3 linked regions of the Oryzias latipes genome follow. The protein of the gene in region 2 purifies or fractionates together with the protein of the main gene of each other region. This does not show direct contact. Links are inferred from orthologs where the notes say so. Each region holds a gene or a part of one and is shown on either strand. Other genes may lie near its edges.

Evidence for each region.
Region 1: the proteins of aplf (region 2) and chd1l purify together in Homo sapiens (affinity purification with mass spectrometry; 4 studies listed by BioGRID and IntAct, counting the BioPlex papers as one, with this or other methods). This does not show direct contact. The link is inferred for Oryzias latipes from reciprocal best matches to the Homo sapiens genes APLF and CHD1L.
Region 3: the proteins of aplf (region 2) and lig3 purify together in Homo sapiens (affinity purification with mass spectrometry; 3 studies listed by BioGRID and IntAct, counting the BioPlex papers as one, with this or other methods). This does not show direct contact. The link is inferred for Oryzias latipes from reciprocal best matches to the Homo sapiens genes APLF and LIG3.

Annotation. Positions count from the first base shown.
Region 1 is NC_019862.2:6,469,622-6,473,268, reverse strand, and holds the end of chd1l (chromodomain-helicase-DNA-binding protein 1-like), read right to left. Parts: intron 2,343-3,647; coding exon 2,234-2,342; intron 2,162-2,233; coding exon 1,910-2,161; intron 1,814-1,909; coding exon 1,732-1,813; intron 563-1,731; coding exon 443-562; 3' UTR 288-442; downstream 1-287. UniProt on the Homo sapiens protein: ATP-dependent chromatin remodeler that mediates chromatin-remodeling following DNA damage.
Region 2 is NC_019859.2:726,027-730,423, forward strand, and holds the start of aplf (aprataxin and PNK-like factor), read right to left. Parts: upstream 2,802-4,397; 5' UTR 2,776-2,801; coding exon 2,683-2,775; intron 2,473-2,682; coding exon 2,401-2,472; intron 1,926-2,400; coding exon 1,777-1,925; intron 1,651-1,776; coding exon 1,545-1,650; intron 1,436-1,544; coding exon 1,327-1,435; intron 1,033-1,326; coding exon 908-1,032; intron 1-907. Other genes in the region: fbxo48 (F-box only protein 48), read left to right, coding at 3,828-4,130. UniProt on the Homo sapiens protein: Histone chaperone involved in single-strand and double-strand DNA break repair.
Region 3 is NC_019872.2:27,680,981-27,684,293, reverse strand, and holds the end of lig3 (DNA ligase 3), read right to left. Parts: intron 3,055-3,313; coding exon 2,912-3,054; intron 2,837-2,911; coding exon 2,762-2,836; intron 2,676-2,761; coding exon 2,529-2,675; intron 2,350-2,528; coding exon 2,199-2,349; intron 2,094-2,198; coding exon 2,014-2,093; intron 1,600-2,013; coding exon 1,513-1,599; intron 1,391-1,512; exon of another isoform or gene 982-1,390; coding exon 748-981; 3' UTR 552-747; downstream 1-551. UniProt on the Homo sapiens protein: Isoform 3 functions as a heterodimer with DNA-repair protein XRCC1 in the nucleus and can correct defective DNA strand-break repair and sister chromatid exchange following treatment with ionizing radiation and alkylating agents.

The sequences.
Region 1 (3,647 bases), on a different chromosome or scaffold from region 2:
TCTGCTTTTCTAACCCAATCAGCCTAACAGAATGATCTCCAGCCTTATGCGCGTCAATATTCTCACCTGAGTTAACAAGACGATTACTGAAATGAACTCAGCAGGTCCTAAACATGACAGTAATGAAATGCAGTGGACAGTTTTTTTTCGGGATAAAGTTAATTTTCATGGCAATTGGATTTCATGGCAAATTTCATGGCAAAATGGACTATGAAATTCATCTGATGACTCATCATAATATTCTAGAGTATATGCAAATTGCTATTATAAAAACTTAAGCAACAACCTTTCCAATTTCCAATATTTATGGAATTCTCAAAACTTTTGCCACGACTGTACAATTTATTCCCTCATAATAACACCTAAACACTTCAACAGATCAGCTTTAATATGATTTAGCACTTAGTTCATCCAGGCTTGGAACATGATTTAAAATGAGCCTTTAAAGTTGATGCAGGAACTGGGCAGTGTTGACTTTTCTCTGTTTGGAGAAGCAGCACTCCAGCCAGGCCTTCTGCACAGGAACAGCCGCTGGGTACCGACCCCTCAGATCCTGGAGCTCCTGGTTCACAAAGGTTTGGTTGATAAAAAAGGATTTTTTTTATCGTATGTTTGGTTTGACATATTTGCACATTATAATTTAGACAATTCAGAATAAGACATTGACGGAGCAGAGTTGTACAACATGGACAAAAGCTTCATTGTCTCCACCTCTTGGTGCATTTGTGTCTTGTGAGATTTTGTGATTTGTTCCAGTTGTTATCTGTCTTTCACTTTTCCAGTTTCAGGCTTCTGATTGATGTAAATAGACTTCACTGCTGCTGTCAGAATCGCCTGCAGGAGGTCATTGTTGGATCTTCTTCCATGGAGTTTGATATGAGGCCCAGCAGAACCACTGCTCTAGAGCAGCATCAATCCCTTCTGTCCTGCTCGAGTCTGCCACATTCAGTGAAGTTCTAAAGATGACTTGATCATTTAGTTGTCTAAAATATTTCCAGTCACCGCCACATGTGGAGTTAGCATCCCTCCTCTAGCCAGTGTTTGTTCCAAAACCATCTTTAAAACCCAAAGTCTCAGTACCTTCATGATGTCTTTTTGCATTTCCCCCACGCTCCTTTAGACCACATTCTGGTAAGTGTTGGATTATTACTTATTTTCCAAAAAGGCCCCATATTTTTGTAGAGCTTTGAATTGACTGATGGAGAGCTCCTGCCTGGACGCTCAGCTCCTCCCATCATATTTCCTCTCTTCACTCTTCCCTCCATGACTTTATTCTGTACTTTTAACAGCTCGACTTGCCTTTAAGATCAAATACTGTAGTTTGTATGGTCACTTCCTGGTCCACAGCACGGTCTCAAAGGCTTTTTTCAGCTTTCAGCTTTTTCACACTCAGAGCTTCCTTCAATGTCTTTAGCTCTACTCTCAGCACTCGTATGATTACTTTCCTCAGTGAGGAGAGAGTTTTGGCTTTAATTTTGTTTGTATTTGGGGGGGCGAGCAGCTTCAAGTATCTGGACTCTGAGCTGAGGAGGTTCTGTGTTTTAAACGGAGACAAGCTTTATCTCCAGAGATTTGATGTCGTTAATACCTATTCAGCTGTCTGGGACCTCACATTATTTTGCATCTCCATGTCATTAGACATTATGACTAAGGGAGATGCTGGAATAGCTGGAAAACTCTCCTCTGTGAATCCTTCATAAAAAAGTGTCCTGCTGGGAGCAGGATACAAACCTGTGTGTGGATGTTGTTCTCCACCTCTGCTACAATGTGGGTGACGTTGTCGCTCAGGACGTCCTCTTCATCTCCATCATATGTGTTTTGAAGTTAAGGAGTCGTTTTGACGCTGACATATTTGACATATTAGGCTTTTGAAGGCGTTTCAGAAACACAGAAAGCTGTGAAAGGATATGTGATAAGGTAGCGAGCCATACTTTTTCTTTCTGATGCAGGAATATTGTAGAAAAACACACGGACTCCGTGCATGAAGCCCGGCAGCTCTGTGCCGCCCTTCACTTGAGCTTTGCTTTCTGCTACGCCCACGTCGCTCCCCCCATCTGAGCTGGTTGATGCCTGTTTGGGGTCTACCGTTGACGCTCCCGCCGCTGCTGCCGCTGCTGTCTGAGGTGCCATTGTTTTCCTGTCCACTTTCTTGTAATAGTATCTGGGAGTTCTGTTAAGGAACACACAGCCTGAACCAGAACGTGTGAGTTCAGAAGATGGCGTGTTAGGATACATGAAGGTGGCAATCCCTTTGGAGGTCAGATGCTTCCTGATGAGCCTCTCAGTGCCATACCAGTTAAAAGCTTTGGTGGAGTGGCCGATACGGGGAAGATGAACACTGGCTGTTTAGAAACAAAAACAAAGAAAGATCAGAAACGGACACCAGTGTAAGCATTCGTCACATGCACCCGTACAGCGGTTGACCCATTTGGGTGCTGCGGGTTTTCGGGTTGTCTGGGCCCATAGAGGCTCGTAGAGAGGAGTGGCCACACCTTAAGGGGAGCAGAGGTATGTCTTGCAGTTCCCTTGAGGCTCATACGGTCACCTTAAGGGACGTCATAAAAATGTAACATACCATTATCGTGCGTTTGGTGAGAGTATCGTCAAGTATTTGTAAGGATAATGTGAGTTAGACACACTTATGACATACAGGTAATGCTTTTGTACGATCCCTGTACGCTACAATCTTAGTCTCCTTACTGACCGTGCACAAAGGCTACACACTCGGGGCGTGCATGTGATATGTCCAGTAAGTGCCTGTAGGATGCCTGTGGAATGCCCACACAAGCCACACTCTGATTGTCTAATCTCCTAATTTCTAACAGTCAGGACAGATTTACCATGTGAACAGCACTAACAAGCTTCTAGTGCTTTAAAGGGGTTTAAAGGACAACTCTGTAAAACACGCCTACATTTCACCTACCGGTACTTCCCTCTTCCTTACCCTTATGTGTTGTACATGTGTTCACTATGATCTGTTGTTCCTAGGGAGCCCGTGGGAAAAATGTGCTTGACCATTTTGGCAGTCCTGGCTCACCGAGCGATCTACGACTTTGTTTTTTGTGTGGGCGACCGTGTGTTCTGTACGAATCTGAAGACAGCCCTATCCACCCGTAAGGGCAGCTGTGACTAATGTTTCAATGCAGGTAATCACAGAAGGTTTAGTTCAAGTTTAATGTTTAATAGGTGAGTTGCTTCTATCCCTTGTGCCTTGGAGGCACGTTAACGTTGGGAGTTGGGTCATCTAGACCCACTAGACAGTGCGCTGAACCTTTTTTCTTCAATGATTTGTGATCTTCACTGGTGTCCATGGATTACATGAAATCCTCTCTACCTTTATCCACCTTTGTCATGGTAGGAAGAACATGTCAATGTAAGGGTGGGGTCATCTTGACCCCATAAGATAGCACCAGGGTTACTTGATCCAGTTCTCTTATACAGTCAATTGATTTAAACTCAGCCTCCAAGGCATGTTAACCTTGGGAGTGGGGTCATTTGGACCCAACAAGAAAGCACAAGGGTTAAAGGAACTAGCCAGGGGAACCAGATCTGGGTTTGAACATTTAAGTCCTCAAATACTTTGGCAAATGCACCATTATAGCCTTTAAACCTGACATCTACATAAAGAAAAGTGACATTTTTTGAGC
Region 2 (4,397 bases):
ACCGTTCCTTAGAACCTCAGAATCGTCTGCATGGAGGGTTCCGCAGAACCGTTCCTTAGAACCTCAGAACCGTCTGCATGGAAGGTTCCTCAGAACCGTTCCTTAGAACCTCAGAACCGTCTGCATGGCGGGTTCCTCAGAACCGTTCCTTAGAACCTCAGAACCGTCTGTATGGCGGGTTCCTCAGAACCGTTCCTTAGACCGACAGAACCGTCTGTATGGCGGGTTCCTCAGAACTGTTCCTTAGAACCTCAGAATCGTCTGCATGGCGGGTTCCTCAGAACCGTTCCTTAGAACCTCAGAACCGTCTGCATGGCGGGTTCCTCAGAACCGTTCTTTAGACCGACAGAACCGTCTGTATGGCGGGTTCCTCAGAACTGTTCCTTAGAACCTCAGAATCGTCTGCATGGCGGGTTCCTCAGAACCGTTCCTTAGAACCGTCTGCATGGCGGGTTCCTCAGAACCGTTCCTTAGAACCTCAGAATCGTCTGCATGGCGGGTTCCTCAGAACCGTTCCTTAGAACCTCAGAACCGTCTGCATGGCGGGTTCCTCAGAACCGTTCCTTAGACCGACAGAACCGTCTGTATGGCGGGTTCCTCAGAACTGTTCCTTAGAACCTCAGAATCGTCTGCATGGCGGGTTCCTCAGAACCGTTCCTTAGAACCTCAGAACCGTCTGCATGGAGGGTTCCTCAGAACCGTTCCTTAGACCGACAGAACCGTCTGTATGGCGGGTTCCTCAGAACTGTTCCTTAGAACCTCAGAATCGTCTGCATGGCGGGTTCCTCAGAACCGTTCCTTAGAACCGTCTGCATGGCGGGTTCCTCAGAACCGTCCAGGAGGAACCTCCAGACAGAGAAGCTCAGCAGGTTTTAGCTTCAGCATCTTCATCACCGCTTTACTCAACCGTTTCAGGTGCCTTCTCCTCCTCAGCATTCATCTTCCTCTTTCTCTGCTCCTCTTCCTCTTTCGATGTGGGCGTGGCCTGAACACCGCCAGCAGGTCGTTTCCTCCTCTGAAGAGTTGACTGAACTAAACACACACAAAACCCCATCAGACCAACAACATGCTTCTACAGAGCAGAACCACAACCAGACAGAACCGGTCAGTCAGATCAGAACTGGATCCGGCTCTTTCTAAGCGATCAGAGCAATTTCTGAGGAAGAGCCAAAGATGGTCTCTGCAGGACGTTGCTGTTCCGCTCAGGTGAGTCCAGGTGTTCTCTCGTGTTCTGAGCGTTCCCCTGGCATACAGAGATTCCTTCGGGTTCTCTGGTTGAATTTGGCTTTTTTACCCATGAATCTTTGCACCGTTTGCCACAGTTACCTTTGAGCATGAGGGCTGGGGTCTGCACGGCGGCCGCCATCATCCAGGCAGGAAGGGTTCGAACCCTGACCTCAGACAGAGCGGCGTGCCTCTGATCCTCCATGTTGGTCTGTGAAGATCAAAGGCCGGACTTCAAAGGACAACGAGGGTTCGAGGACCGTTTCCTTCCTGATGCTTCAGCGCAGGGCCTGACATAACGGTGTGGGCGGGGCACCCACCTGTCGGGATCTCCCGTCTGACTCCGCCCCCTCCTCTCCTGCTGGACCCTCCTGACCTTCTCCTGAGGCGGGAAGCTGCTCCTCCTCCTCAGCGCTCCGGATGCTCCTGCAGGACACAGAGACGTGAGGCAGCTCCTGCAGGAGCAGCTCTTCATCAGCTGGAGGGTCTTCCTCCGTCTGTTTGATCCCAGCTTCAAACAAAAGCGGCGCCGCCCACACCCTCCTGGAATACCTGGAGCCCACGGCCTCCACCCTGAAGACCAGCCGCCCCGGCAGCAGAGAGAGCAGCTCGCCATCGCGCAGCGTGTACCAGGATCCTTGGGGCAGGGGGCGGGGCTCCGAGGACAGGGAGGCCTGGATGAAGCACGGGTTGGCGTGGGTCTGGGGAGGGACATGAGCGCATCAGTTTGGGATCTGGGGAGGCCCGAAGACACCAGGAGGACCATCTGCAGACGGCACGGCTCCTCCTCTGAGGAGGTGCAGAGACAGAACAGAGAAGGTCAGAGGTCATCCTGGATGGATCCACATGGTTCTGATTGCCTGAAGTTCCACCTGGATCTTCTTCAGAACCGTTTCAGTAAAGCTGAACCGGACTCAAACAGATCCGGTTCTGTTTTGGTCAAACCGTGTGACGGGTTGCGTTGTTCATGTAACGTCAGTGGTTTCCTCCATCTTGGCCGGATGTGACATCATCAAACCCTGAACTGAAAGACCCGATCGGGTCGCTGTGGAACCAGAACCGTCTGGATTTTCTACATGCAAACTCTAGCAGAACCGAAAACGTGACGGCGGCGTCCTCCTGAACCTCGCCGTGTTCAGAACTCTAGGAGAGTGTGTGTCTGGGGGGGGTCGGTACCGGTTTGAGGCGCAGCTCTCCGTCCAGGTTCTGCAGCAGCCCGTGGCGTCTCGACACCCTCTTGTCGCTGATCTGGGGTGGAGACAGAAACACTCAGTCACTTGTGAGGCGATGGAGCTGAGGATCAGCGTCCCTCACACCACGTCCCCTCAGGAACTTGTCCTGAGGGGGGTACCAGCTCCAGTTCTGCGTCAGAGGTCAGGTGATCACCTGCCAGCTGTGGCAGCGGAGTCACGTGACCGTGCCCCGCCTCTGTCTGACCCGACACTCTGCGGGACTCACTGTGAGCAGGGGACCCCGGCCCAGCAGCGTCTCCCCTGGCGGAACGGGGACCGGATTCCCGCCATCCACCGGGACCAGGAGGAAGCCGGACATGAGCTCCGGAGGCGGGGGGGTCCGGCTGGCGGGAAGAGTTTATCAACACACGCGGTTCGGAAAATGCGTTGGGTCCAATTGACCCGGGTCTCTGCGGATCTGGACTATGAAATCCGGGTCTGAGAGCCGCAGGTGAATTCGGGAACAACTTCCGCTACTTTTGAATCCAGACTTCCGGTTTCCAGTGGAGCATGCGCAGTGGTGTCTTTAAGGTGTCAGCAAAAAAGTTAAAATTTCCATCGATTTTTACGAAAGATCCAATTTGAGTAATTAAAAATTGAAATAAACAAAAACTTAACATGTTCATGTCAGCCTGAAGTTAAAGTGTTGATCAGTAAACTGACCTGCGCAGAAAAAAACGTTCAAAAAAAGATAAATTGTTTGGATTTTAAGTAAGAATATTTTCTCTTTAAATTTCACATTAGATTACAAAAGTTTAAAAACAACGGAGTTTGGTTTTTTGACAGTGAGGCCTTTCTACGCATGCGCGTGGTTTAAATTCACGATGACGTCACGTCTGTGTACAAACAACCGTTGGGACATTTAAACAGTCAGCTGTCGGGATCAAACCCCGTGTCCTGTCCGCGCTTGATTACTGCGTCCCTGTGGTTCAGCGTCTCGGGAAAGAACCCGATTCCGTTTCTGCTCGGAGTTCAGACCGGAACCGGCGGCGTTTGTCTGCTAGCTGCTCTCCCCCAAAACACTCGTTTAGACGGAGGTGGGGGTGGGGTCCCGGTGGGGGGTCCCGCTTGAGCCCTGATCCGGTTCTGAGGCTTCGGTCACGTGCGCCTCCCGCCCCCACGTCCGAGGCTCAGGTGCCAAACAGAGAGCAGGTAGGACTTCTGTCTTCAGCACCTGTGACGTTTTTGAAACGTGACCGGAAGTGAGGCCACATGAAAAGGTTCTGAAGGCCGATCCGGATCCCGGACTGCTGTGGACCCCTGAGGAGCAGACCAGGTGGGTCTGAGACTACACGATCCACGTGCTAAAATCTGATTGACACCCCCATAAATGTCTTTCATCTTTCAGTCGCCCCCTCCCCCTCCCCCCTTATGATGCAGGATGAACCTGCAGAGACTCCGCCCCCACACCCGATGGAAGGAAGCCCCACCCTGATGGCAGCCCCCCCCGAACGCCCCCCTCTGAACTTTGTGGAGGCGCTTCCTCTGGAGATGAGCGTGCGGATCTTCAGCCAGCTGGACGCTGACAGCCTGTGCCGCGCCTCGCAGACCTGCCGGCTGTGGCACGCCGTCATCCAGCAGAGCGAGCAGCTGTGGAGGGGGCAGGGCCTGGTGGTGCGCGCCGTCTGCCAGAGGGAGGTGGACCGCGACAGGAGCCACGGCCATTCCTGGAAGGTGAGCCTGGTCTCCCCCCTCCCCCAATATGGCCAGGTTATAGGGGGGGCGGGGGAGTTCTGATGCCTCCCTCTGAGGCCCCTCCCTCATCACATGACCCTCATGTAAGTGAAGGTCCCTGACCTCCTTGATGATGAAGGTCATTGACCTCCTCCTCATCGCACCTCCTCATGCCATTGAGCTGTCCGTCTCCCTCTTTGCTTCTGGATAAGGGTGGAGGGTGGCACGGTGGTGTAGTGGTCAGTGCGTTCTCCCGGTTCACGTGTG
Region 3 (3,313 bases), on a different chromosome or scaffold from region 2:
AAGCTTAATCTGTTGGAGTAATGCGCTTTGTACTCGTCTCCTTGTCCCCAGGATTTTCTTAGAGAATTTGTTTTATTCGAGATTTTTTTCGAGAAAATTTCTTTTTTTAAAGTTTTGTTTCTTCAAAATCCTTTTTGCTGTAAAAAAATAAACTTTGTAGTTCATAAAGATTTACAGCAAAAAACAAAGAAAGTTATCTAGAAATAAATACCAGACTTTTTTTAATGCACTCAATACACTTCCATACCTTCATTTGCGTAGTAAAAAAGTTGTAGACACAAGTTCTCTTCCTTTAAATCCTTAACTAATCAGTATTTCCTCTAGTTATTTAGTGTTGAGGTGGCCGTTGCCATGGAAACAGGCTAGCGCCCTGTTTTTGGACGTTTTCATTTGAGAACTTCCAACTTTAATTGAGCTTCTTCTGGAGTGTTTGAGCTTCATGGCAGCACTTTTCTTGGGAACACGTTTGTATGTGGCGTTAACGTAAACTCTGTGAACGTTTTCCTTTTTTTGCCTAAAAGTGCTTAAAAAAAGAGACGAGGAGTCGCTTGTATCTGTGACAAAAACCAAGGATTTAATACAAGCTTTCAGTTCTAACTTTAAACTACAGAAGTCTGCTTTCATCTACATCTCGTGTTCAGTTCATGATTTTAGCGTTTGTAGTAGAAAAAAGAAAAAGTCCATCAGATCTGCTAATTCATCTGCAGAACCCGTTCCTGAGAGCCGAGGCTGATGGTTCCAACTCTCTCAGCAGGGGGGCACCACGCGCCTCTTCCGGATGCATTCCCAGATCCAGCTGGGCGACACCCTCTGAGCCCGGCTGTCCTCTCCGGGTGGGGCCAGCGTGTGCGTGGCGGAGGCGGCGTCGTAATCCGCCACCAGGTCTCCGTCGTACGCCACGAAGTACCTCCGGAGTCTGTCGGCGTCCTGGATGGAGGCGGGCAGGAAGAGCTTCACCCCACCAAAGATGTCCAGCAGCGTCTGCAGGGCGGCCAAACACAAACACGCGTCATGCCCCTCCCCCCCGGCGTACAGAACCGAAGAAGTAAGCTGTTCGCTGGAAGAAAATAACTTTTTGACAGACCTGTTTTTAATCTAGTCTTTCAGCTTCTAACTGGTTCTCTGGAGTAGAACTGGACCTTTGAGACGGTCCAGAACCAAAGTTTGAAGGCTGGATTTGATTAGGAGTTTCACCTCATTTAAACTTTAAATCAAACACAGTTGCCCGCTTTTTTATACATCGTTTAGACTTTACGGGTCGTCCAGACCCGCGAGGACAACAATGTCATGTTTGAAACTCTTCCTCATAAAAGGCTTGAGTCTGAATCAGAACATTAAAGAAGAATAAAGCCGGTTCTATTGTTCAGCTGCTCCAGAACCACAGACAACATTTACATTGTTCTCTGATTATTTCTACTTTCAACCCAAACGCTGGTCTGTCTGTAGACGCCCTCGTGAGGACCGCCGGTCAGTGCGAGTCCTGGGGGAGGACAGGGAGGGTTTTGGACCCACCTTGTCGTTCCTGGCCTCCAGGAGCTGGGGGGTCGCTCTGGGTTTACTTTGCTGCCCGTTGCTGTTGACATTTTCGCTTTTCTTCATCTGTTTGTGGAAAAACTAGTCAGTTTTACACGACTGCACTTCCTGGTTTGGACACTAGGCGGAGCTACTCATAGAAGAACTGGAGAGCAAAACGGTTATTTGAACTTTCCAGAGTTTATAATGGAACTGCTGACATTTCTTACTGAATAATTTCATGTTGTTGTGTTATAAATAAAGCAATAATGAACTGTAAACAATTTTACGTTGCTGTTGAATTAAAAAGGTGCATTCAGCTTAAACAATTGTAAAAGACGTTTAAAATCTTAGACTGTTTCTCCATGGAGACGTCTGCAGCTGTTTAGTGACTAAATGTCGTCGGATCAAACACTTTTTACTAAAGTCCGGCAGGATTTCCTCTTTTCTTAACGAACCTGACCCAGATCCCAAATATCAGTTCACGTCGGCCCTGCCCACCTTTTTGGCGCTGGAAGCTTCCGAGTTGGGAGTGCGGGGTTCCGACTTCTGGGCCTTTGCTTTCGTTGGTGTTCTGTTAGCTGTGAAATGTTAGCATCAGATTGACATTGAGGTTTTTTCTTTTCCTTTGATTTGGAGCCAGAACAGACGTTCTGAGGGAGACTCGACATCAGAGATGAACTTACCCGTCTTTTTGGGGGGAGCGCTCGTGTTGGAAGAGGGCGACGGCGAGCTCCCCGTGCTGTCCCCCCCTGACGACCCTTTGTTGTTGTCGGCGGTGGACGGGCCGGCCGTCACTTTGAAGTCGCAGTGCTCCTTGGAGATGCGGAACAGCTCCTGCGGGAGCGATGGACGCACGTTTAAACCCATGAACCTCTGCTCCTCCTCTTCATCATTTGTCACATGACCTCCCGTCTTCTCAGCGGGACATAATCAGCTGGACTGCACACCTCGCCGTCGGCCATCTCTGCCCAAACGTCTGTGTTTTAGGCCGCTGAGGAAACTGAAGGTCTCACCCTGAGCTGGTGCAGGTTGGTGGCGGTCTTCCAGTCTTTGTCGTCGCGAATACGCGTCATGCGCGGGAAGCGGATGGAGATGCCGTCGGCGGTGTGCATTTCCGATTTGGAGAACTCGGCACCGGTTATCTCCCAGACCGGCGCTTTCTGCGGGAGGGAAGCAGCACATGAGAGGCCCGCGAGCACTGCTGGCGCTTTCCTGCAGGATCCGGACGCCGAGCGGAACACCTCACCTCAGGGTCGCGGATAATGAAATCTGGATAATAGTTCTTGACGATTTTCAGCCAGCCGGGGATTTTGCTCGGCTCCTACAGAAGCAGAGGATGAACTCCTGACTGTTTGGAATTTTCCAGCTCCGCCTCTCTAAGTGGATCTTCTCTGACCTTGCTGATTTTAATCACATCCAGCTCCTTCTGGAGCCGGGCCAGCATGGCGTCATCGTATCCTCCGGAGCACTTGGTCACGGTGCACCATTTCTTTGAGTCTGGGTCGTAGCAGCCCATCAGAAAACTGGACATGATGCCCCCTGGTGGGAGGAAGAACAAGTACAACTTTAGAGCAGCGAGTGTTGCTTTGCTGACAATCTGAGTTTACTTTGGAGTTTTTTTTGGGTATGACCTTCTTCATGAGATTGCTACAAAGAAAATTGCTTTAAATTGTTTAAGGTTTCACTTTGATCATCTTTTGGTCTTTTTTTAAAGTGTTCCCAGTGGTCTTTTAATTATGATTATGCTATTTTTTTGTGCCAAAAATCAAAAAAGCTGTGTTGACATAGTTTCTGCAGA